Linked DNA regions of Mytilus edulis. The protein of the gene in region 1 interacts with the protein of each later gene in a pairwise test. Links are inferred from orthologs where the notes say so. Each region holds a gene or a part of one and is shown in the gene's direction. Other genes may lie near its edges. The genes, in order: transcription initiation factor TFIID subunit 11-like and protein Dr1-like.

Region 1 (12,994 bases):
GATGGAGTACTTTAATTGGTGGGTGTTTTTAACTCTACTTTTGGCACTTTTGTGCTGTTTGTTGGCAGTCAGTTTTTATTGGTAGAAGCCTAGGAAGTTCAAGTGCCTAAAGAACTACTGACCTGTAGTACTGTAGGAAAACTTACAATCCTAAGATTGACCTTGAGCAAACTTGCCACATGCTGGATTCAAACTCACAACCTCAGTTTTTACAGGCTAGTAATACAGTACTTTGTCCAGCAATTGCAAGGCCCTTTTGAGTACTGTACTTAGAACTTCAAGGTAGGAACTATTACAGCCAATCTTTGTACATGTTACAAAATAGGGAATATGTCCATGGGACACACATGATGCCCTTAGGCCTGCTTGCATATCATATAAAGTTATGAAGGGCATAATAACTGAAGAACAGTAAAAGTGACACTACCCAAATTGGTACTTGATCTGAGTTTTGTGGTAATAAGCATAGTGTATAAGTGTTTAACATTTGGTTGAGGCAAACTATATGTATAGCTAGAGAACGGAAAAGAAAAATAAGCAATTTTTCCATTTGTAAAGGGGCATAACTCTAGAAATTTTAAGTGACATCGCCAAAACTCAAACTTGTTCTGTATTTAATGGTTATAAAATAAGCATAGCATATTAGTTTCATTTATAACATTTGGTTGAAGCAAACTTAAGTAAGGTGGCAGAAACAAGATTCAGCAATTTTTCTATTTGCAAAGGGGCATAACTCTAGAATGACAGGTGCATAATTAATATATACATGAATATACATTGCAATATTATTTTGATATGGTTTTGGTATTGTGTAATACTTTTATTATTACTTTGAGACATTTTAAAAAAGTTTATATTTAGATTTTTCAATATAAAACTGATCTAAAAGGGTACCGTACCGCTGATAATCCAGTTCTAAGAATACAATTATCCTCATGTCAGATAATTGGTGTTCTAATTTGAGTGAATAAATAAGCTCTTCAAATCCTGAACAATTTCATGTTTGTCATACAGAATGGTATATATCTTATCCATTGTTTAAGGCTATAATGCTACCTTCTGATACTTTTTTTAATGTAGGGTAGGTCTTTCGAACATTTTAGAGAGGAACTTTTTTTATTTATTCTATGAATACCTTACATAATACAATGTATATTGTCATTTCTTAATCAAGGGGTACCAATGACTTGTTTAAAATGGGAAAAGTACTAGCAATGAAAGACTAAGTTATGTGTTAATTTGTTGTTTCATGGACAATGATTTGTCATTAATGATTTACCCTACATCTCCTTTAATTTAAACAATTGAAGAATATATCCACAGTCATATTAACATTTAATGAAATTTATACAATAAAATATATAACACAGATCAACTGCTAAATGAAATCAATATCTTAACGCCTACATTGCACCAAGGACAAAATTCTGCAGTCTCAAATATTATGTAATACTATGTAATACATATACATCATTGTACATGTATGCGGTCATCATCAAACATCTGTATTGGTCTCCTCTTGTCTAATATAGTTCTCCCGTACAATTATGTACATGTAATTAATTCTATCAATGAATTATATAAACAACTTAACATTTTCTTGTTGACATAAAGCTAACATAAAGTTTGTGCAGGTTTCAGAATGTATACTAATTATGTTTAGTAATTTATAGTATTTGTTTGTAAAACGAACAGGTGTCAATGTCGATTAAATGACCTACCTCATTACAAATCAAATGTTCAGTATTTATATTACTACAACCTTCACGCTTAAAACTTTTTGAGTCCACATGCTCAGAAGCCAGAAGCTCAATTTTTTGAAAATTTTAGTTGGATTCTGTTTAATCGTAGAAAAGAATTTTACTAGCCAATGCTGTAGGACTTGTGGTTAAGCATGTAGACTGCTAGTAATACTGAATTGGACGATGCAGTGTTCCCACCTTTATGCAACAAAATGTCCATTCTATCAATAAGCAAAGAATACATGTATGTGTTGCATTCTTTGCTTTTGATTACAGCTTTGAAAACAGTTAACAGAATTCTATAACCATGATCATGACTAAAGAAGGGAAAACAATTTTTGGTTGAGTTTTGTTGGATTTTGAAATCAGCATTCCTGTGTGAAGGAGCTTTACAGATTGGGAAAACAATCTTTCATCTATGTGAAAGAGCTTGCTATAAAGGAAATTGATATGTGTGTGTGAAAGAGCTTGTCAGATTTGGAAGTCAATCTTCGTGTGTGTGAATTCAAAAGAGCTGGTCAGATTGGGAATTCAATCTTTGTGTGTTTGAAAGAGCCCTATGGGATTGGAATGTCAATCTTCCTGTGAAAGAGCTTGTTGGATTTGGAAATTATTATTCCTGCATCAGTGTGAAAGAGCTTGTCTGATTGATCTTTGTGTATGTGTGAAAGAGCTTGTGAAATGATGTCATAGGAAATCAACTTTCTTGTGTGAAGGAACTTTTTTCATGGGAATATTAATCTGAAATTAATGTGAAAGAGTTTGTTGGTGGTTGATTAGGAATTGCTCTACCAATCAAAGCAATGAAGATAAATGATGTACATGTAAGTTGAAAGTGGTGGCATACATGTACACAGTGATATTGTTTGCCTCATATTACAGCCAAAATTCAGCTTTTTCCCCTAGAGAAAATTCCCAATTACTAAAAAAAATGTTTAAAATTCCTCCCAAAAAGTTCAGGGATCTCCATGGATGAAAATTGAACAATGGAGGAACTTTCACCATCATAAACTGTATTTACGCCGTACAGTGTAGCGCGATCGAAAGTATTTCATCCCTCCACATAAGGATAGGTGAACATTGCTTATTTAATTTATATTTATTTGAATTTTCATTATAAATACTATATAAAAGTATATATATTTTCAATAATTGCCGTTTGTAACCTTTAAAGGCCAAGCCCTTGTGTCCCTCCCTTTCCCTTAGTCGAGAATGACCAATAGCTATCACGAAAGGTCCTAATGTAGTTTTCTTGCTATTTTTGGCAATTGTAATGGGGGTTAAAATTCATGTAGAGCTTATTTTTCACGGACATTGTCAAATTCAGAATTCATGAATCCATTACCGGTGTGGCTGGTTTGCAGCAACGACAAAACGAGTCGTACGGGTTATGTAAAGGTTAAAAAGATTTGTAAAGCGAACGTTGTCATATGAAAAGGTTTTTAATGACTTTATCTAGCAAATCGATACTATATGCAACATGCATCTTTCGAGTCTGAATAGAAACCGGAAACGCGGATGTATCAATTTGATTGTAAACTACGAAATGAATTCGGAATTACGATACAATATTTATTTACAGGAAATATTAAAAGTTTTTACTTTTTAACATTTAAAGTAATTCTATATTAGTGTTTCCTGCAGCTTTTAAAAAGGGCAGGGTAATTGTTAGCTCAGAGGGCACATTAAGCGCGATGGACAACAATTTTAGGGCACTTACTTAATTTCTATAAAATGGATTCATTTAAAACATACTAGTTTAATACTATAAAAAGGACATATACATCTGTAATCAATCATTAAAACAAATTGTTAAACAAGAAAAAGTGTTTAAAACATATATATATGAAATATTTAAAACAATAAACACAATTAAAAACAAAATCAGTTCTTTAAAAACAAGAAAGCACTATGTCATATACATGTATATAAAAATATTGCTTTGGTCATATCAATTGTCATTGACAAATCCTCCTTTTTTTCCCTAAAAACAGGTTGACACATTCCCTGATATCCAGGGTAATTTTTAGTAACCAAAATTTATTAAATTACAAAAAAAAATAACTTTACAAATTAACCCCTTCCCCTCTACACCCTTTTCCAAATTAAATTAATATAGATACAACAAGTTTTACTACTTTCATGGCACTACCATATCAGCTGTTTATTTTCAATGTCTATAAATAGCCAGACATAGTTGTCTGTTACTTAGGTGTTTTCCCAAGTATTTTCCCCGCCTAAAATGATCATGTGACATGTTTGTAAACAAAAGAAAACATTTGATCAAGGAATTCATTTATTTTCTGGATTATTCTGCTTTTAATAATTTAGTTTGGATTTTTATTCATTTCATTTAAGGTACAGTCAAGCATTTGTATCTAAAAAATAGTTTGCAAAGAATTTTTACTTTTCAATTTGACAAATGTCTCATGATCGCCGTTCATTGGCTTGTTCAACCATGCAAACAATGTAAATTATGTAAATTAGAAATCTATCAGCTGTAAAAAAAAATTATCTAAGCATCACAACGATGTTTTTTCATTAATCTTCTAGGCAAAACGATGTTTCTGGGACTTGGGGGATACAATCAGGACCCGTGATTAGTATCTGTATTCACTATTCAATCTATTGCAGTTTGCTAATCAGCTGATTACGAAATCGATTACTAAATGGCGACCTAGTGAACTTTTGTTTTGAAGGGAAATAACTCGAGCGGTATTCATAAAATATGTCTTTCAGTACCGGTTGTTAATTACGACGATAAAGGCATGGCGTCAGGAATTTCGACAAAATTAGGGCAGGGCGCCAATTTTTTTCCCCAAAAAGGGCAGGGCGTCAAGAAATCGCGGCAGGGCGCCATTACACGCCAAAACCACCTGTAGGAAACACTATATATTATCGTTACAATACAGCAGTACTCCAGTTATATGCGATGAAATAATAACTTCTCTGTTTTACGTCTTATTTTGTACTTCTTAAAAAGGGGGATGCTGATTGCGTAAGTCAAAATAAAAGCATGTGTTCTACTTGTTGTTGTTAAACTTTGTAACTGGACTATTAATTTATTTATTTAATCTGAATTATCATAAGCATTTGCGGAAACTTAATTAAATAATTTGACAAATGAATCGTCTATCTTCAGATAATATTCTCCTGTCTGCTTTGTTGATCTACCTGTACAAGCTCAGGGCTCAGGTACAAGTGATTAGCGATCTAATCCGGATATCCCTCAGGCGTTTGAACTGGATTATACTGTAAAGAAAGCCTGAAGGTTATGCAATTACATGCATTTGATTATAATTGCTAAAAAAATGGCATCAGGCTATAAAAACTATCACAGTTTTGAACGATGGCGCAAGTCATTTGACGATGGCGCAAGACATTTGAACGATAGTGCAAGTCATTTGACGATGGCGCAAGACAGGCCATGGAGATCCCTGAAGTTTACATTTTCCCCAAACAGTGATGGCATTGGTAGTAATGTTTGTAAATTTCGTATTCATGTTATTATTTTGATGTTAGGAAGCACTTTTGAGATCCGGTTTTCTGATCAGAATCATCATGGTGTTTGTAACACATGTGGTTTTCAATGCAATAAATACCATCATTGTTTCTGTTTCTTTCCCCTCTCCAAAAAGTACCTTTCAGGTTGAAAATGTCTGACAACCAAATTAAAATATACATGAAAAACAGTGCAAAAAAGACAGCACAGGTCAGCAAAAAATCGTAGATGGGTTTTAAATAAAATATACAAATTTCCCTATTTCAATAAAAAAAAATATGCATTTTCCCAATAAAAAACGGTAGAGGTAGTTAACCGAAGTTTTGAAAAAAGATTACAATATCACTGGTACACCATCTAATAAACTAAAACATTGTAAATTGTATATAAAAACCAATGCAGGTAGTGTGTCAGCAACATATCAATCTCACACCTGAATGCTGTGGGGTTGGGAGGTGTCTGTTTGTATTTCTATATACATGTACAAAGCCTTTCACTGCAATTGTTAGAATTGTATATGTATGAATCTATTACACATGAACTATTGACGTCAACCAACTATTACATTTTTTTGTGGCGTCAAGACATTCACTACTACATGTACGACATCAAAATTTGCGAGAACTCGAGTGATGTTCAGTATTAGCGATCAAATAGCGATATAGTCATGATGATGATATGTGGCTATCCTGTCTGGATATTGCGGACTGGCTTCTACCTATTGTGTGGTTCTGCTTCGTTTGAACATTTAGCTTTAACTTTGCTTTGAGGAGTGTGGTATGGTGTATCTTGCCGTTCCAAGATTGTAAGTGCAATTGCTACTGCCTATAGTCATGATAGTGTATTATGGCCATCATATATGGTGTCATGACAAGACAGAGGAGAAAATTAATTTTAAATGAAATTAATGCTTTATCCCTAACATTTGACACAGATATAAATATGGGAGATTATTAAAACTTATTGTTTTAGCCTTTCCAATGACCAATTTTACTTCCTATATTAGGCTATAAGTTTTCTCTTGTCTATTATTTTAAGAACCGCACAGACATTCAAAAAGTTTCTGAATAAGTCTGACATCCAATCATTTTGATCTTAAAACTTCCAAATTACCGCAAGTCTTAATTTTGGTATCTTAGAAGTACGGTATACAATATGACACTATTGTTTCTTCATACTGAACAGACAATACCAAAAGAATAACGTGGGGCTTTAATCACTCATGATGACTGAACCGTTTTCTGGGCGACAGTATTGACGGTTGATAATTTACTTACCCGGGCCTTCAGGAGTTTATTCTTAAGTCTCCAAATTTCAGCGGTTAAGTGAAAATTCACATGGAAAAGATTACTGTCAGGCACTTTTCCCCTTCTTTTTCCTTGCTTGATAAAATGTCCAGGTGATTTCACTGTTTACTCTTACCGGAAATGAGGTCATCCGCCGATCATGTCATTAAATAGTTCACCAAACATTCCCAGTTAAGTATTGATTAGCTGAGAAATCAACCATACTAATGAACTATAGAATCATATCATTGTCTTCTCAGAATTAATAAAAGGAGAACAAATTAAGTTTGAACCACGAAACATAATGTTGAAACTTTGTTTACATTCTGGGCACTTGTTATTCATACGCTTTCGGCGGAGAGAAAAGTGCACTTTTGGTCAAAAGTGTTGAACTTTAAAGTCATCATATACCTTTTGAGTATTTTACTTTCAGCTAATAGATCAATGCTTTTAAAAAAGATGACGTAACGTCAACTTTTGAAATCCTTCATCTGAGATTAGTCCTGTCACACATGTGTTTAATACAAACATAAATTACATCAAACTTGAAAGTGCATTTGTTCTCAGATATTCACTTCCGGGTGAAAACAAAATGAGCCAGCCAAATGATTCACCGAAAATCTCTCCTATAAAAGTGGAAAAAGATGTGGAGAAGGAAGGACAATCTGGATCAGAGAGTGAAACAACACCAGAGAAGCAACTAAAGGAGACAAAAACTGATGGAAAGGCATCAAGTGTTAGCCCATCTCAGGAAAGAAAAAGAAAGCTTGAAACACCAGAAGAGGAAAATGCTAATAAACATAAAAAAGAAAAACAAGAAGAAGAACGATTGAAGATGCAGTACGTAATAAACAATCAGTTGTATGCTCTCAATGTTGTATACGTGAATGGCATACCTTTGTTCCTCTGAATACACTGAATATCTACATTGTCAATGTCATGGACGTCATACACCTTATCGCTAATCCCGGCTGACCCGGCCGCTTGAACTTTTGACGCATACAACAATCACTTTTCCATTGTGGCGTCAGTTATTTTGTTTTATGACGTCAAAACTTTACGGGAACCTGTGTGATATCCAGTAATGGCGGACAAATAGCGATAAGGTGTACGTATTGACATTGTACAAACAACCAATCTGAATACAACTAATTGTAATCCCAGCTGTCCCGGCCGTTTGAACTTGATGCATACAACAATTACTTTTCCATTTGGCGTCAGTTATTATGTTTTATGACATTTAAATTTTATGGGAACCTGTGTGATATCCAGTAATGGCAGACAAATAGCGATAAGGTGTATAATGAATTCATCAAACCTCTCCCCACTGGCAAATCGCCTCATCTCCATGACCTGCTATATGAGCCTAGCCTCCTTCTAATTATCCCTGCAACCGTTAAATCATCCGTCATGGACAAATTTGTTTCGTTCTCTTGCCGCCATTTATGTCAGCAATTATAATCAGTTGTACATAATTGCATAATCCATAGGCTTATTGAAGTATAATTTAATTTTCCTAATTCCAGTTTTAAAGTCCTGAGGGATAATATCCTACAAAAGACCACTAATCACTAGCTTGTACAGAAAAATTGACACATCTGACTGGAGAACACTTGATTAAGATAGACAATTGATTACACTATTTTGGTTCAGCAAATGCTATCAAAATTTGAATGAAAAAAATAAATTATTAACAAGTGAAAAAGAAAATAACAAAAACATTCAACACATGCTTTTATACTGACTTACGCAATCAGCAATCCCCTTTTTAAACAGGTGAAAATAAGACATAATGAAAACATAATTTGGTACCAAGAACACTTGCAAATCAATAAGGGATGATATTGAATCCCTGTACAAATTAAAAAGTAAATATGAATATTAACTGGAACTTGATAATCTGATGAAATTTCTTACATTGTATCTGAATTTAGAGAGCATATATCTAGTTTACAATCCTTTTAAAACATCTGGTTATCATTCATAATCAACAAATGTGTATTGCAGAGTATGTTGCAATGAAATTTTTTGTTAAAAGTGGCTAAATACTTTTTGGAAAGGGGCTTCTGAAGTTTTTTGTTCACCATTCCTTACATGCAAATAAAGGAATTAAATTCTTTCCATGACACTTCACTGTAGATGCTGGATCAATAAATTTTCATCCATGGAGATCATTGGTGCCCTTATGTTCACTAGGAACTTTTGTTGACAAAGTTGTTTCAAGGGATGGTAATTGTGTTCCGGACCTTATTCTAAAGTAAAGATAGATACATTATTTTCTTCCACTTTTAACCTTATTATTTCAGCGTTAAAGTTGTGATTTTAATTGAACTTAATTGCAGTTTAAAGAAAAAGTATTGTAATTTTGAATGTATATTTCAGGGTTTTAGTGTCAAACTTTACAGAAGATCAACTTAATAGATATGAAATGTACAGAAGAGCTGCATTTCCAAAAGCTTCAATTAAAAGGGTAATATATAATTTTTGTATAAATAATTATTATAAAATATGTACATGTATGGTGCCTTGAACAAACATTCTATGAAGTATCACTCGGGTATAAAATTGTTCATGCATATATAATGCCATTTTTATTACATAAAAAACTACAAATTTAGTGAGTACAAATGGGTCAATCTACATTTTGTAAACATGTACATGTTGAAACAGAACAAACAACAGTTACACCACTACAAAATTTTAAAGAAGAGAAAGTCCACTAAACAAACAAAACCATTAATATAAGACATCTTTGTATGTATGAAGAAGTTTTCTTTGAAACAATTCAAGTTTCAGTCAAATAACATACACATGATACAGGAAGATGTTTCACAAAAAAAACTTTACAATAAAACTCACTCATTTTTTTTAGTCTTCAATGCACATAATTCTGTTTATATGTTATGATCAATTTTTAACCGGATTTTTGTGATTTGGGGATGTACGGCGGGCGGGCGGGCGGCAGACGGGCTGTCGGGCGGGCGGGCGGGCGGCAATCAAATGTTGTCCGTGCATTAACTCATGAACCGTTCAACCAAAGCTTTTAAAATTTTAATATGTTATTACTGACAACTATACAAAGGTCAAGTTCAATAATGGCGATTTTGACTTTTACCGTTCAGGAGTTATGGTTCTTGAAAGATTGAAAAATGGAGTTGTCCGTGCATTTACGCATGAACTGTTCTACCAAAGCTTCCCAAATTTTAATATGTTGTTACTAATGAAAGAATGGAGGTCAAGTTCAATAATGACGAATTTGACTTTTACCTTTCAGGAGTTATGGTTCTTGAAAGATTGAAAAATAGAGTTTCCAGTCGTGTCTATGCATTTATGCATGAACTGTTCTACCAAAGCTTCCGAAATTTTAATATGCTGTTACTGATGACAAAATGGAGGTCAAGTTCAATAATGACAATTTTGACTTTTACCGTTCAGGAGTTATGGTTCTTGAAAGATTGAAAAATGGTTTTTCCCGTCGTGTCCGTGCATTTTCTCATGAACCATTCAACCAAAGCTTTTGAAATTTTAATATGTTGTTACTAATGACAAAATAGAGGTCAAGTTCAATAATGACGATTTTGACTTTTACCGTTCAGGAGTTATGGTTCTTGAAAGATCGTAAAATGGCGTTTCCATTCAGGTTGTTGCATTTACTCATGAACCATTCAATCTAAGCTTTTCAAATTTTAATATGTTGATACTGATGACAAAATGGAGGTCAAATTTGATATTGACGATTTTCACTTTCACCATTCATCAGTAATGGTTCTTGTGATATAGCCAGGACACAAATAAATGTTAATAAATCCGGTTTGCTGTCGTTGTGACAGCCTCTTGTACTTGTACTATGTTTTGCAAAAAATACATATAACATAAAAAATACAAATGTAATGTCATTGGATTGGAATAAGCTTTGTTTTCAAATGAGGAAAAATATCATTGATTGATTGATTGATTGTTGGTTGCTTAACGTCCAGTGTAAAAAATATCATATTATGATTTATGGTTTAAACTTACACAGTAAATTGACTTGGCTTTATTGTCTTAGCGTTCATCATTTACTTGTAGCTAAAACATCATCAACAATTAGGCTAAAGCTGGTTTAACTGTAATAACATTATTGTTTGACCTGTATTTTAATATGTACATGTACTTACTTTTAGTACATGTAACTGTTACAAAAAAAAACCATTCTCTATTGAAAAGTGGAACTAGTTAAGGTAAAGTAACAGTAAATGAACGCCGTCTAGCGGATTCCGCGAAATATTGCGACGTTTTGTACGAATTACGTCCCTTTGACCAGATTTTGCAATGTTAAAATTGCACCCGGCGACTTTTCGATGGGACAACGTCAACGGTAAATTTGACGGAAAGTATGTTACTTATAGGAGAATGAACTTGTTTTTCTAAAATTAAAAATTGAAAATGAATATGAAAACAGTCCTGAAGACGATCTTCAAAATGAAAATCAGGACGTTTGTATATATCTGCTGACGTTAAAATAAGTGTGAAAACTGTTGCTCACTACTATTTCTACATAATTGTGATGAGAAAAAACAGTGTGGTCTCGGAAGTATTCTATATGTAGTATGTCAAAACTGTACTTTCAAAAACCCTATATTCACTGGGAAAAGACATCGTCTAGCAGAAAATAAGCAGAAGGGTGCAATTTTGGGACATTAATACTAAAGTTAAAAGTTGTACGGTAAGACTATAATATCTCCCATATTTTGAAAATTATCACACCAGTCGGAACAAGTAAAAATATTTTCAAATTAGAGAAAAGGAAATGAACCACATAAACTAATACTGGTCATAAATTCGCCGCTGCTGTCAGTCAGTCATAGATGACACTAAACTATAATACAAATTAATTAACCTTGTTCACGGTTGGAACAATTATTTTAATATTCATACACAGTTTTTAGACTATAACAAATTAAAAATAAGCAAAAATGATGTTTCACGATCATTAATCCATCGCTACATTTTGTAATCTAACGTTGTTTTTTTTTAATGGTGCTTTCTTTCACGTCCGCAATTTCGATGTTAAAAATAGAACCCAAATCTTTAAATAGATACATGTATAAATAGTATTTGGTTTAAAGATTTATACAGGGCTTAGTATCCTAATAGTATTGATTCGTAAAAATTAACCGAATAAAAAAAAATGTACCCTAGCTGAAAGTAGCATCTCAATATACAATAGAACTGTTCTCAATTCTAAATTCACTCATAAAACTTGAAGGTTGAGAACGAGATTATATCAATCACCTCTATATCATAGTACTACTATATATATATACCGACTGAAAAATATGCACAATGTCACAGACTTTCAGTACCGAAAGTTAAATGTAAATCCCGTAAGTAGTCAGTACTTCAATAAGACAGCATCCAGGGGGTGCAGGGGTCCTGATCCCGAAATCCCGGCTTTAAAAACATGAAATCCCGAGGTCCCGAACTTATAGAAATTTCAATCCCATACCGAAATTCGAAAAAAGAATAGCCGGATTCATAAAGGATCAATCCCAAAATCCCGTGCTGAAAAACACCCGATCCCAGAGTCCCGTTTAAGGTCCAACCTCATTTGTGTAGATGGACTAAATAACAAAACACAATATTACCAGTCATGTCTCAGCCTGTGTGCGATTGTTTTTTTCTTGTTTTTTTTTCGGTTGGGGGGAAAGGGGGGGGGGTGTAGACATATCAAACATAAATATGTACATCTGTTTTTATGTCATATGTCTCAACCTCCGTTAATTTGGTTTCCTCGGAAATGTTTTTACACGATGTATTTTCTGGAAAATACACTGTACCACAAAGACTACTGTGAAATGTCTTGAGAGAAAGCGAAATTCAGAGAGAGAAGCACAATAATTTATTGTCACATATAATTAGATCTCAAAGGGAGTTGCAGAATAACGGATACTAGCGAATGTCAAATTTGAACAAAAAAGTTTGCAAAATTATAAAGAATAACAACGGAAAATAAAATTATTATTTAATATAATAGTGTAGACCATGTACTGAATTTTACAAAATCGTTAATTGAAGATTTTACAGAATAAGCGTTATATCTAAAGATAAAGAACATTTAGGTCCACACTTCATACGGACCCTTAAAAATCGTTGGATTATCTCGGTGTTGCTGGTCAGTGATGAATAAAAAATCACTGGTCAATTTAAAGGTTGTTGTAAGTGATGCAATATATTCTTATTTTCCTGTTCCCCTTATGTAACTTCCAGTTTTATTAAAGTTTACATTCATCAAAGCCTTAGTTTAATTTAGTTTCCTGTCATTACTACCCCCCCCCCCCCCCCCTTTATTTGTCACATGTTGTGTATCATGTACTGATTCTGTATATACTTCGAGCATACATATTTACACTTATGGAACAATAACCATTTAGTAAACTTTTTAAAACGTTTTTGTAGACTTGTATACAATAAATTTTATACAG
Region 2 (12,713 bases), on another chromosome or scaffold:
AACAACAACTAATAAAACAATCATACATCTAAGACTACATATGACCAATTTTTGTAAATTTTAATGACCAGTGAATAACAAAATCCGAAATCTGCAAAAGGTGCCACGAGAATTCAAATAACAACAGAAAATGACCAAAGATAACTAAATACAATATCTGCTTTAGGTAACCAAGTCTATTATCTACATTAGGTGACCAGTGGTAACACAATTCTATATCATTTTAAGGTTACTTAGGGTACTCAAAAACCATATCTGGTAAAGTTGACCACATGTAGCCAATTAAATATACCAAAAAAATGAACTTTTCAATCAAACCGAAGTAGCCATTTTACAGCTATCGATAACAAGTTTTAAGTTCAAATAGAATTATAGTTTCAGTATCATACACACTTGATGTACTTATCCATCATATATAAGAATTATATATAACAAATTAAATGCATACATACCACTTTCATCTACATTTTCTGAGTACTTCTGAAAAAAGAAGATAAACAAATGATATTTGTATTAGTAAATTCAATTCTATTTATCCAAAACTATCTTATTGGATAAATAAAAATTGACTAAATTATCAACTGTCAATACTCTTAGCAATGTTTGCAAGGTCAATGATTTTCTAAGATTTGTTTTTTAAAAGATCAGGATAGACAATGTTCATTCTGTTGAGTGTAATTAATATTTTTAATGTAACATGCAGTAATGCATATCAAACCTGTTCTTGTTCTTGTTCCTTTTTTCCTCTCTTCGATTGTCTTACATTTCCTACAAATGATAAAAAACATAACACGACTTATGTTTTGATGACAAGAGGTAACCAAATCTGAATTCAGCATGAGGTAACCAAATCCAATATTAACATAAGGTGGCCAGAGGTCACCAAATCTAATATTAACATAAGGTGACCAGAGGTCACCAAATCCAATATTTACATAAGGTGACCAGAGGTCATCAAATCCAATATATGAATAAGGTGACCAGAAGGTACCCAATTCTAGCATGTTAAGGCCACCAGAGGTTAACATATCCCATTTCTGATTAAGATGACCACATGTAATCAAATTAAATATTTATGTAAGGTAATCAAGAAACAAAAAAATGATTTGTTCAATCAAGCCTAAGTGGCCATTTTACCAGTCACGATTGCAAGATTTAAGTTCAAAAAGAATAATAGTTGCAGCATTATATAAACATAGTGTATGTTTTCATCATATTAAAGGTTTGACACAATTAATTAAATGCATACATACCACTCTCATCTACATTTTCTGAAAACTTCTGAAAAAAAAAAGATAAATATAGGATAATTGTATTAGTAAATTCAATTTTATTTATCCAAAAGTATCTTATGAGGATCAGTATTATTTTACTTAATTAGCAACTGGCAATGCTCTTGGCAATGTTTGAAAGATCAAGTATTTTTCTTTGCTTTGTTTGTAGATGATCATGAAAGATAATGTTCATTGTGTAAAGTTTTATCGGTATATTAAACTTAATGTTATAATATTCTATATTCTTGTTGAACCAATAATGTATATCAAACCTGTTCTTCTTCTTTTTTTCTCTCTCTTTCATTGTCTCAAACTTTCTACAAATGATATGAAAAACATCAACTAGTTGTATGTAAATGTTAATTACCAGAGATGACCAAATCTGAAATCTGCATAAGGTGACCAGAGGTAACCAAATCCAATATTTACATAAGGTGACCAGGGTCACCAAATTTAATATTAACATAAAGTGACCAGAGGTAACCAAATCCAATTTAAACATAAGTTGACCAGAGATAACCAAATCCAATATAAACATAAGGTGACCAGAGATAACCAAATCCAATATTAACATAAGGTGACCAGAGGTCACCAAATCTAATATATAAATAAGGTGACCAGAGGTAACTTAATCTTATATTACCAGAGGTCTTCAAATCCAATATTAACAAAAGGTGACCAGAGGTCACCAAATCCAATATATGAATAAGGTGACCAGAAGTTACCCCATTCTAGCATGTTAAGGCCACCAAAGGTTATCAAATCCCATTTCTGGTTAAGATGACCACATGTAATCAAATTAAATATTTGTGTAAGGTAATCAAGAAACAAAAATGATTTGTTCAATCAAGCCTAAGTGGCCATTTTACTAGAAACGATTGCAAGTATTAAGTTCAAAAAGATGAATAGTTGCAGCATTATATAAGCATAGTGTATGTTTCCATCATATTAAAGGTTTAATACAATAAATAAAATGCATACATACCACTCTCATCTACATTTTCTGAGGAGTTCTGAAAAAAGAAGATAAACATATGATAATTGTATTAGTAAATTCAATTTCATTTATCCAAAAGTATCTGATGAGGATAAGTAGAAATATTGACTAAATTATCGACTGTTCATGCTCTTGGCAATATTTGAAAGATCAAGGATTTTTCTTTGATTTGTTTGTAGATGATCATGAAAGATAATGTTCATTGTGTAAAGTTTTATCGATATATTAAACTTAATGTAATAATATTCTATATTCTTGTTGAACCCAAAATGTATATCAAACCTGTTCTTCTTCTTTTTTCTCTTTCTTTGATCGTCTCAAACTTTCTACAAATGATATGAAAAACATCAACTAGTTGTATGTAAATGTTAATTACCAGAGATGACCAAATCTGAAATCTGCATAAGGTGACCAGAGGTAACCAAATCCAATATTTACATAAGGTGACCAGAAGTCACCAAATCTAATATTAACATAAGGTGACCAGAAGTTACCCCATTCTAACATATAAAGTTTAACAGATGTTAACAAATCCCATTTCTGGTTAAGATGACCACATGTAATCAAATTCTATATTTGTGTAAGGTAATCAAGAAACATAAAAATGATTTGTTAAATCAAGCCTAAGTGGCCATTTTACCAGAAACGATTGCAAGTTTTAAGTTCAAAAAGAATAATAGTTGCAGCATTATATAAACATAGTGTATGTTTCCATCATATTAAAGGTTTTATACAATAAATTAAATGCATACATACCACTCTCATCTCCATTTTCTGGGGACTTCTGAAAAAAGAAGATTTCCTTCTAGTCTGTGATTCGAACATTCAAAAAAACGTGTCATCACAAATGACAAATCATGCAAAATGGATGAAACGAATATTTTGCTTTGAATGACTTAATTAAACTTAAGTTTGTGTTATTCGTTGTATTCAATTGCTCGGTATGTTGATTTTACTTACAGATAATACAGACGGTGACAGGCTCTAGATATATGGTGTATTGCTAAATAGAAAGAAGAATGGTCTATTTTTAGTTTTCTATTTTTAGAACACCAATATTACTACACAGAAGAGTACTATTTATAGGGTGACCAGTGGGCACCGTTCAGCGTAACTATTATCCTTGTGCACACCAGATATGATTAGAAAGATCTAGTCTTTGCCTTATGTAACTCCGGGCATAAAAAGGACTACATAGGTAGGTAGGTAGGTTTGATAATGTTCCCCATGATATCTTGTCACCAAGCAACTAATTAAAAATCAAAGCGCTGTAAGCACTGTAGGCAGTTAACCAAAAACCAAGTCAAACATAATTATGAAAACTGTGGCAATATTGCTTCATTTTTTTTTTAAAGATTTAAAAGAACAAACATTAAACATTCATATATAATTGTACATTTATGTTCATTTAATGAATTAATCATTAAGGCAAATAATTCATATTTTATCAAGGTTTTCAATAGCAACGTATATATCAAGTATATTTTTTTCATGGTCATGAGTCTCGAGTCAGCAGTGGTACAAATTCGCAATGATTGCAGTTCTTCTAGTTGATCGTAATTGTTCGTATTAGTTGACTGTTTGTATTTTAAGTTGACTTTAGTACGAGCTTGTAAAATATGAATGGACTTGCTTCGAATTCCCTGGAAAGAAAACTGAGTTTGTGTTCTACAGTACAAAAGTTATGAGACACAAATCAGACACAAATGTTTACTACTACAGGGATCAATAGTGAGGTCTGACTGACCTGTTCATAGTAAATGTAAATGACTCCCACCTTCAACCCAAGTCCATGATGTCTAAGTTCGGAATAAAATGACAGGTGTTAGGTCTAGCAAATTGATATGCATATGTGACGCCTATGAGATTGACCTTGTATGTCATTCAATCTTTTTGAAATGACAAACAGGAATGAATATGGTTTAGGAGTTGGTATCTCAATCTTTTACAAGTTCTCAAAACACACACAAGAGGGTGTGAGTGACCCTAGGGACTACCCCTATTTTTCATTTGATTTGTTATATTGTCCCATATATGAATATATATGGTTTAGGGGTGGGGGACCCCAGTGACTTCCCCTATATTTCATTTGATTTGTTATATTGTCCAATACATGAATATATATGGTTGAGGGGTTGGGATCTCATCTGTTTCCAAGTTATCAAACAGGATTGGATAGGGGTGACCCTTAGGACTCTCCCTATATTTCATTTGATTTGTTCTTTTTTCCCATACATGAAAATATATGGTTTAATTTAAGGCTATGATCTCGACTATTTCCAAGTTCTCAAACAACAGGAGGGTTGGGGTGACCACAGGGACTTCCCCTATATTTTATTGATTTGTTATTTAGTCCCATACATGAGTATATATGGTTACGTGGTGAGGATCTCGACTGTTTCCAAGTTCTCAAACATGAGGGTGCAGTGACCCTAGGGACTCCCCCTATAATTCATTTGATTTATTATATTGTCCAATACATGAATATATATATGGTTTATGGAGGGGATCTCAACCGTTTTCAAATTCTCAAACAGGAAGGGGTAGAGTGGCCCCACGAACTCCACCTATATTTCATATTGATTTGTTATATTGTCCCATACATGAATAATTTTCATGATATGGTTTAGGGGTGGGGATCTCGACCGTTTCCAAGTTCTCAAACAGGAGGGGTGGGATGACCCACAGGGACTCCCCCTATATTTCATTCGATTTATTATATTGTCCCATACATAAATATATATGGTTTAGGGGTGGGGATCTCGACTGTTTCAAAGTTCCCAAACAGGAGTGGTGGGGTGACCCCAGGGACTCCCCCTGTATTTCATTCATGCGCGTAGCTACGTTTACGTCAAAACGCCCGGGCGTACACTTGAATTTTTAAAATAAAACAAATATTCGACATAGAATAAGAAAAACTGGTCAAAAGCACATCAGCCTTGTGCTTCTTTTTTCAATGGATTGTAATTTTGAATAAAAAGGGACTAAATTTACTCAAATAAATCATTTAATATATTTGTTCGAATCTTTGGTAAAAGTCTGAATCTACTATGAATTCTACGTACTTTTCTTATATTTAAAGCAATTCACTATCTGCTCAGATTCGATATGCTGTTTGTATTTTTGTCGAGCCAGTGATTTATGTCCCAAAAGCGAGACAACATTTAGGTTCCGAATGTGGATAAAGTCTTTTGAATGACTTTCCGTGAAATTTTACGAAAGTTGGACAGAAACTGTTTATGAACAAGAGAGTATTCAGAGCAATATAATAATGCAATTATATCTTTAATTTTCCCGCATTTTAAGGACAAAATGTATTTCTTTCTGCAATTAATAAGTGGTCGCAGTTTGGGCTTACATTTTGTTATTTCTCAATTACATTAACTACTTGTCGAACCTTCATCGAATTTTATGAAAATGCCGAAGAAGCTTTTTTTTCTATTACTTATTTCTAAAGCTAAAATTTTGAAAGCATTTTTTTCGTTAATTTTCTATTCTTTTCTGATAGACAGCAGGATAGCCGGACTCTTCTTTACGCAATTAATTGTTTTACATGCTCAATTTATAAACCTTCATAGATTGTCGTGAAATATTCCAGATCAAGAAAAAAAATATCAAAAGAAAATTTTAGATTTTTTTTAAATCCCTTTAAAGGAACGATAAATTGATTCACTTTTTGTGGGAAGAAATCCTAGGTGTTCCAGAAGTTTTTTTATATTGCACCTCTTAGAAATATTTTTTTTTCGTGTTCATTAAAAGGTGCTTTTGTGGATTGTATGCTCACTCACGGCACCATTTAAACTTATTTAAAAGTAATATTGGTTTGGACGTTTTCTGTAAAACCAATGACCATTAGGCTAGCTTCCAGTTTAACACGATGAATAAGTTAACATATTACAAGATTTAACCAAAACAAACAAACCATTTACGGATTCAAAAGTATGTTGCTATCAATGATTTTTTACTGACAGGAATCATTACGGTATCTCATTCTCGATAGCTTTCGGGGGCTTCGTCCCTTTCGAACCCACTACCAGCAGGTGCTTTAACATTGAGCGGTTGACACCCCTCATATCCCTCGCCAAGGTTCGGGCGTACACGTAAAAATGACCCAGCTACGCCACTGGGAGGTATACATGATAACGTGATAATTAACCTCCTTTGTGTATATAGGGAAATGCTGAAGATTTTCTATAAAATGTCAATATGTTTAGCTTTGAAAAAAAGATACAATCCTTAAAGAAGTATACCATGGGGCGCATAAATTTTTAATGCAAAATCGGTAGACAATTAAATTTTTGCTCAAAATGGCCTGAATAGAATAGAATAGAATAGAAACATGATTTTTATTTTCCAAATTACAGGGCCCATAAAGGGCATAAAATCAGATACAATATATTTCTCTTGCAACAAAAGTTTCTCATTTCTGGATTTTGTTTGTTCTGGGAACAGTATATCTAACTGTTAATATATATATGTTCCTGGTTTTTTTTAGTAAACAATAACATCAAATGTTCTATTTTTGTCAAAGTAGGTTCAGAGACATATATATAATGAGTATCTATGTCTCTGGTAGGTCTATCTTATTTTACAAAGTTGGAGTGGGAGTTGGGGTGACCGAGACCTCGTAAAATCCGGAAACAAAAGCCGAAATTGATTACACATTTATAATTTTCTAATTACCTCCCTTCTCTTCCTAAACAGAAGGAAAGAAAGAAATGTTTCATTGATTGCAACGTACTATTTTAACAAAGCCCTTGTAAGAATATAGAACTCTAATGTATGTTAACGAAATATATCCCAACAATGAATGAATGCTTTATATAAATCCAAACGAGCGATTGACAAACAAGAACGTAATGGCAAAATATCAAACTCGAAGCAACTGTGGAAATCAAAACAAACATGTAAAATGTATATTTTATAGTTCATTATACATATCTTTGTAATAATAAGGCATATGCTATAATTGTTTGGGGATACAGTTGGTATTGTAGCCATTTTGCATATTTGCAATACCATACAATTATAGCCTTTGTATGAGGTCGACAGTACCTCGAATGACCGAATAACACTGTTAATATCCAAATTACACTTGTAAAGACTGAATAACACTTGAAATTTTTAATATTACCACATATTGGTGACTTTTAAACATTGATCATTAAATTATAGTATATTATCAATGTATTTCATAACTTATAAATGATTTATACTTACTTAATGAGTGATTTTCTAAATCACTGGTTTAAGTAACATTATTTCCATAAAAGTTGGAAGTAAGAGTTGTCTTTCTTTAATAATCACCTATTTAAGTAGTACAAATTAATCACTAGAAGAAGTGATTTAATCTTATTGTAGCTTTAAATAAAGAATACAAATGATCCAGGGACTAATTATGTTTCTAAACTTATCAGAACCAACATCTGTGTTGTTTAGGATGACCAGGTCATTTCAGGTGATGACCTTGTACTGAATCTAGGATAATGACATTAAAATCACTTGTTTAAGTATCATACCTCAATTTCCTTCCCAAAAATCACTTATTTAAGTATCATTATTTTAATAACCCCCACTAATTTCAACACCTGCGAACAGTGAAATTTTTATCGCGAACAGTAGAATTTTATTACATAATCTGAAAGATGAAACCTTGAACTTTACAGGAAAAATACTCCCACTGCCTGGAAAAATCTGTTATGAAAGTATCAGTTCATTATGTAAAGCCATTATTATAGCATTTTTTCAACTAAAATAGAATTTTCAGCTAAATGATAGCATCAAAGGCATAAACCTTACTACTTAAAAGAAGCAAAAAGTTCATTTTTTTCAATTTTACTAATTAAAAGATATTATTTAAACCTATGTGTTTAAAATTTTGAAAAAACTACAAAATCCCAATTTGTGACAAAACTTTGAATTTGCTACTCAAATAAGTGATTTAAAAATCACTTATTTCAGTAAGTCCCCTGACTGTAGAAAGAAGATTAGTTCATAACAAACTTTTAAAATTTAGTGTGTACGTCCAACATGGTGACCACAGACATCACATTGGCCGCCATGTTCTATTCTATGTTTTATTAGGATAATAACAGTGTTATTCGGTCATTCGTGTTACCCTGAGGTCGCTACAAGGATGTATTCTCTATTTTCTATTCTATTCTAACATATAGTGATCACCTTCAACAAATTGAAGATGATATCACAGGAGGAAATATTGACCTGAAAGAAGTATATTGACAGAGGACGAAGTCCTAGGTAGATATACTTCTTTGGGTCAGTGTATCCTGTATTGACTTCATACATAGACTTGGTCTTTGATTACTCTGACATCCAACGGATGTTTTGCCAGACAAGCTGGGGCCATGGGACGTCAGAGCTTGTCCCATATCAAAAATGGATATTTGCCCATCCAAAATAGATGCGCTGCTTCTTCGCTTCTGGTGCCAACAGACGGCCTTGGAATTATATAAATCGGGTATCAATTTGTTCATTTTTTATTAGCTCACCTGACCTGAAAGGTCAAGTGAGCTTTTCTCATCACTTGGCGTCCGTCGTCCGTGGTCTGGGGTCCGTAAACTTTTACAAAAATCTTCTCCTCTGAAACTACTGGGCCAAATTTAATCACACTTGGCCACAATCATCCTTGGGGTATCTAGTTTAAAAAATGTGTCCTATGACCTGGCCATCAAACCAAGATGGCTGCCATGGCTAAAAATAGAACACAGGGGTAAAATGTATATTTTGGCTTATATCTTTAAAACCAAAGCATTTAGAGCAAATCTGACTTGGGTAAAATTGTTGATCAGGTCAAGATCTATCTGCCCTGAAATTTTCAGACGAATCGGATAACCTGTTGTTGGGTTGCTGCCCCTGAATTGGTAATTTTAAGAAAATTTTGCAGTTTTTATATGACCGCAAAAATTGAAAATTTTTTGGTCGTATATTGGTATGATGTTGGCGTCGTCGTCTGCGTCGTCGGCATCGTCGTCGTTGTCCGAATACTTTTAGTTTTCGCACTCTAACTTTAGTAAAAGTGAATAGACATCTATGAAATTTTGACACAAGGTTTGTGACCACAAAAGGAAGGTTGGGATTGATTTTGGGAGTTTTGGTCCCAATATTTTAGGAATTAGGGGCCAAAAAGGGCCCAAATAAGCATTTTCTTGGTTTTCGCACTATAACTTTAGTTTAAGAAAATAGAAATCTATGAAATTTTAACACAAGGTTTATGACTACAAAAGGAAGGATGGGATTGATTTTGGGATGTTTAATTCCAACAGTTTAGGAATTAGGGGCTAAAAAAGGGCCCAAATAAGCATTATTCTTGGTTTTCGCACAATAACTTTAGTATAAGTAAATAGAAATCAATGAAATGTAAACACAAGGTTTATGACCACAAAAGGAAGGTTTGGATCGATTTTGGGAGTTGAGGTCTCAACAGTTTAGGAATTAGGGGCCAAAAAGGGGCCCAAATAAGCATTAGTCTTGGTTTTCGCACCATAACTTTAGTATAAGTAAATAGAAATCTATGAAATTTAAACACAAGGTTTATGACCATAAAAGGAAGGTTGGGTTTTATTTTGGGAGTTTTGGTCCTAACAGTTTAGGAATAAGGGGCCCAAAGGGTCCAAAATTGAACTTTGTTTGATTTCATCAAAAATTGAATAATTGGGGTTCTTTGATATGCCGAATCTAACTGTGTATGTAGATTCTTAAGTTTTGGTCCCGTTTTCAAATTGGTCTAGATTAAGGTCCAAAGGGTCCAAAATTAAACTTAGTTTGATTTTAACAAAAATTGAATCCTTGAGGTTCTTTGATATGCTGAATCTAAACATGTACTTAGATTTTTGATTATGGACCCAGTTTTCAAGTTGGTTCAAATCAGGATCCAAAATTATTAAATTAAGTATTGAGCAATAGCAAGAAATTTTCAATTGCACAGTATTCAGCAATAGCAAGAAATCTTCAATTGCACAGTATTGTGCAATAGCAAATATTTTCAATTACACAGTATTGCGCAATAGTAAGAAATATCTAATTGCACAATATTGTGCAATAGCAAGAAATTTTCAATTGGAGTTATCTTTCTTTGTTCAGAATAGTAGTTGAATCAACTTAAATCATTGTTTTATACAATATACAATGTATATTTACTTTTACTACCAACCAATCTTTACCATTCAGTGATAACAAGCACTTTATTTTACATTTTAATATTTTATGATGTATTTAAGAGTAGTTATTGTTGCAAACTCCATTAGAAATTTGAATTGATATCAGTTTTGGAAAAAGGGAAAGGGGGATGTGAAAAAAAAAATGAGAGGGGGGGGGGGGTTAAATTTTTCTCATTTCAGATTTCATAAATAAAAAGAAAATTTCTTCAAACATATTTTTGAGAGGATTAATATTCAACAGCATAGTGAATTGCTCAAAGGCAAAAAAAAATAATTTTAAGTTCATTAGTCCACATTCATTCTGTGTCAGAAACCTATTCTGTGTCAACTATTTAATTTTAGATTTAAATAAGTTTGAAGAAGAAATCTTTAATTGATTTGTAAAATCTTGACATTTGTTTTTGTGTAAAAAACCCATATAATGTCAAAAATTTGATCACAATCCAAGTTCAGAGCTGTATCATGCTTGAATGTTTTGTCCATACTTGCCCCAACTGTTCAGGGTTCGACCTCTGCGGTCGTATAAAGCTGCGCCCTGCGGAACACCTGGTTGGTTATTATTTTGAATACTATTATAGATAGAGATAAACTGTTACAGCAATAATGTTCAGCAAAATAAGACCTACAAATAAGTTAACATGACCAAAATTGTCAGTCAACCCCTTAAGGAGTTATTGCCCTTTATAGTCAATTTTAACAACTTTTTTGTAACTTGTACAAAAATCTTCTTCTCTGAAACTACTCAGCCAAATTTAAACTAACTTGGCCACAATCATAATTGTGGTATATACTTTAAAAAATGTGTCCGATGACCCCACCTACCAAACAAAATGGCCGACATGGCTAAAATTATAACATAGTGGTAAAATGCAGTTTTTGCTTTATTTCTTCGAAACCAAGACATTTAGGGCAAATCTTTTAAGAAAGATTTAAATGTCCATCAGGATAAGATCAATCCCCTCACAAATTTTCAGGTGAATCCTACAACAGTTGTTGGGTTGCTGCCCTAAAATTGGTAATTTTAAGGAAATTTTGCAGTTTTTGGTTATTATTTTGAATACTATTATAGATAGAGATAAACTGTAAACAGCAATATTGTTCATCAAAGTAAGATCTACAAATAAGTCAAACATGACCAAAATTGTCAGAGAACCCCTTAAGGAGTTATTGTCCTTTATAGTCAATATTGAACAACTTTTCGTCATTTTTGTAACTTGTACAAAAATCTTCTTTTCTAAAACTATTGGCCAAATTTAACCAAACTTGGCCACAATCATTACTAGGGTATCTATTTTAAAAAAGTGTCTAATGAGCCCTGCCTACCAACCAAGATGGCCGACATCAGTAACAGGTGAGTGACACAGGCTCTTGAGAGCCTCTAGTTTATCTCTTCATTTATGTAAGTTTCACCTACCTGCCACCCTTTATTTTCTCATATTTAGACAGTTTTCACAGTGACCCACCGGTTCTTGCATTTCAACTACTGTCATGTGATCACGAGAAAAAACTTAGGCACAATGGACTATGAGAAATGATATGACCTTAGGTCAATATGAATATATAATCTAACACCTCCCTCATTAACGATGCCATCAATGTTAATATCTAAGAGCTTCCGAATGTGATCGTGGTTGGCACTAAATGCTTAATACTGATCTCCTGTGAAGGAGGTGAAAAATCATGGTTGACTACTAAATGTTAAATAACGATCCCCTATAAAGGAGGTGAAAAAAGTATAAACATTTGCATATTTGAGTCTCGAGGTCGCGAAATCTCTCGTAATTTAACTTCCATGCATTTGAAAATAACTGTAAAAATGTCTGAATCAATGGGTCACTGTGAAAACTGTCTAAAAAGAGAAAATAAAGGGTGGCAGGTAGGTGAAACTTACATAAATGAAGAAATAAATGAAAAATGAACAAATTGATGCCCGATTTATATAATTCCAGGGCCGTCCGTTGGCACCAGAGGGGACGAAGCAGCGCATCTATTTTAGACGGGCAATTATCTACTTAGTAATCTAGGACTAACATAGACTATAATTGTTATATTATTAATTTCCAACCCTATTTGTGTCAAAATCGTCATTGGATTTTATTGGAATTTTATTGATATCATATTGTCTCTTAGACTTTGATGTAAACCTTTTGTGACTGAGTCACTGTCCTCTTGTATATATAAACTCTCTGTTTTACTTAATATTCCCTATTTAGTATACACATTTATGTTATAAATAATTTACGGCTTTTAAAAAAGTATATATAA

The links.
Region 2: the proteins of transcription initiation factor TFIID subunit 11-like (region 1) and protein Dr1-like interact in binary tests that used the Drosophila melanogaster proteins (3 or more experiments, as listed by UniProt). The link is inferred for Mytilus edulis from reciprocal best matches to the Drosophila melanogaster genes Taf11 and NC2beta.

Annotation. Positions count from the first base shown.
Region 1 is NC_092350.1:19,130,655-19,143,648, reverse strand, and holds the start of transcription initiation factor TFIID subunit 11-like, read left to right. Parts: upstream 1-7,076; 5' UTR 7,077-7,122; coding exon 7,123-7,370; intron 7,371-8,912; coding exon 8,913-9,000; intron 9,001-12,994. UniProt on the Drosophila melanogaster protein: The TFIID basal transcription factor complex plays a major role in the initiation of RNA polymerase II (Pol II)-dependent transcription.
Region 2 is NC_092345.1:62,857,781-62,870,493, reverse strand, and holds the start of protein Dr1-like, read left to right. Parts: upstream 1-6,942; 5' UTR 6,943-7,030; intron 7,031-12,713. UniProt on the Drosophila melanogaster protein: Bifunctional basic transcription factor. Activates transcription of DPE (Downstream Promoter Element) containing promoters while repressing transcription of promoters which contain TATA elements.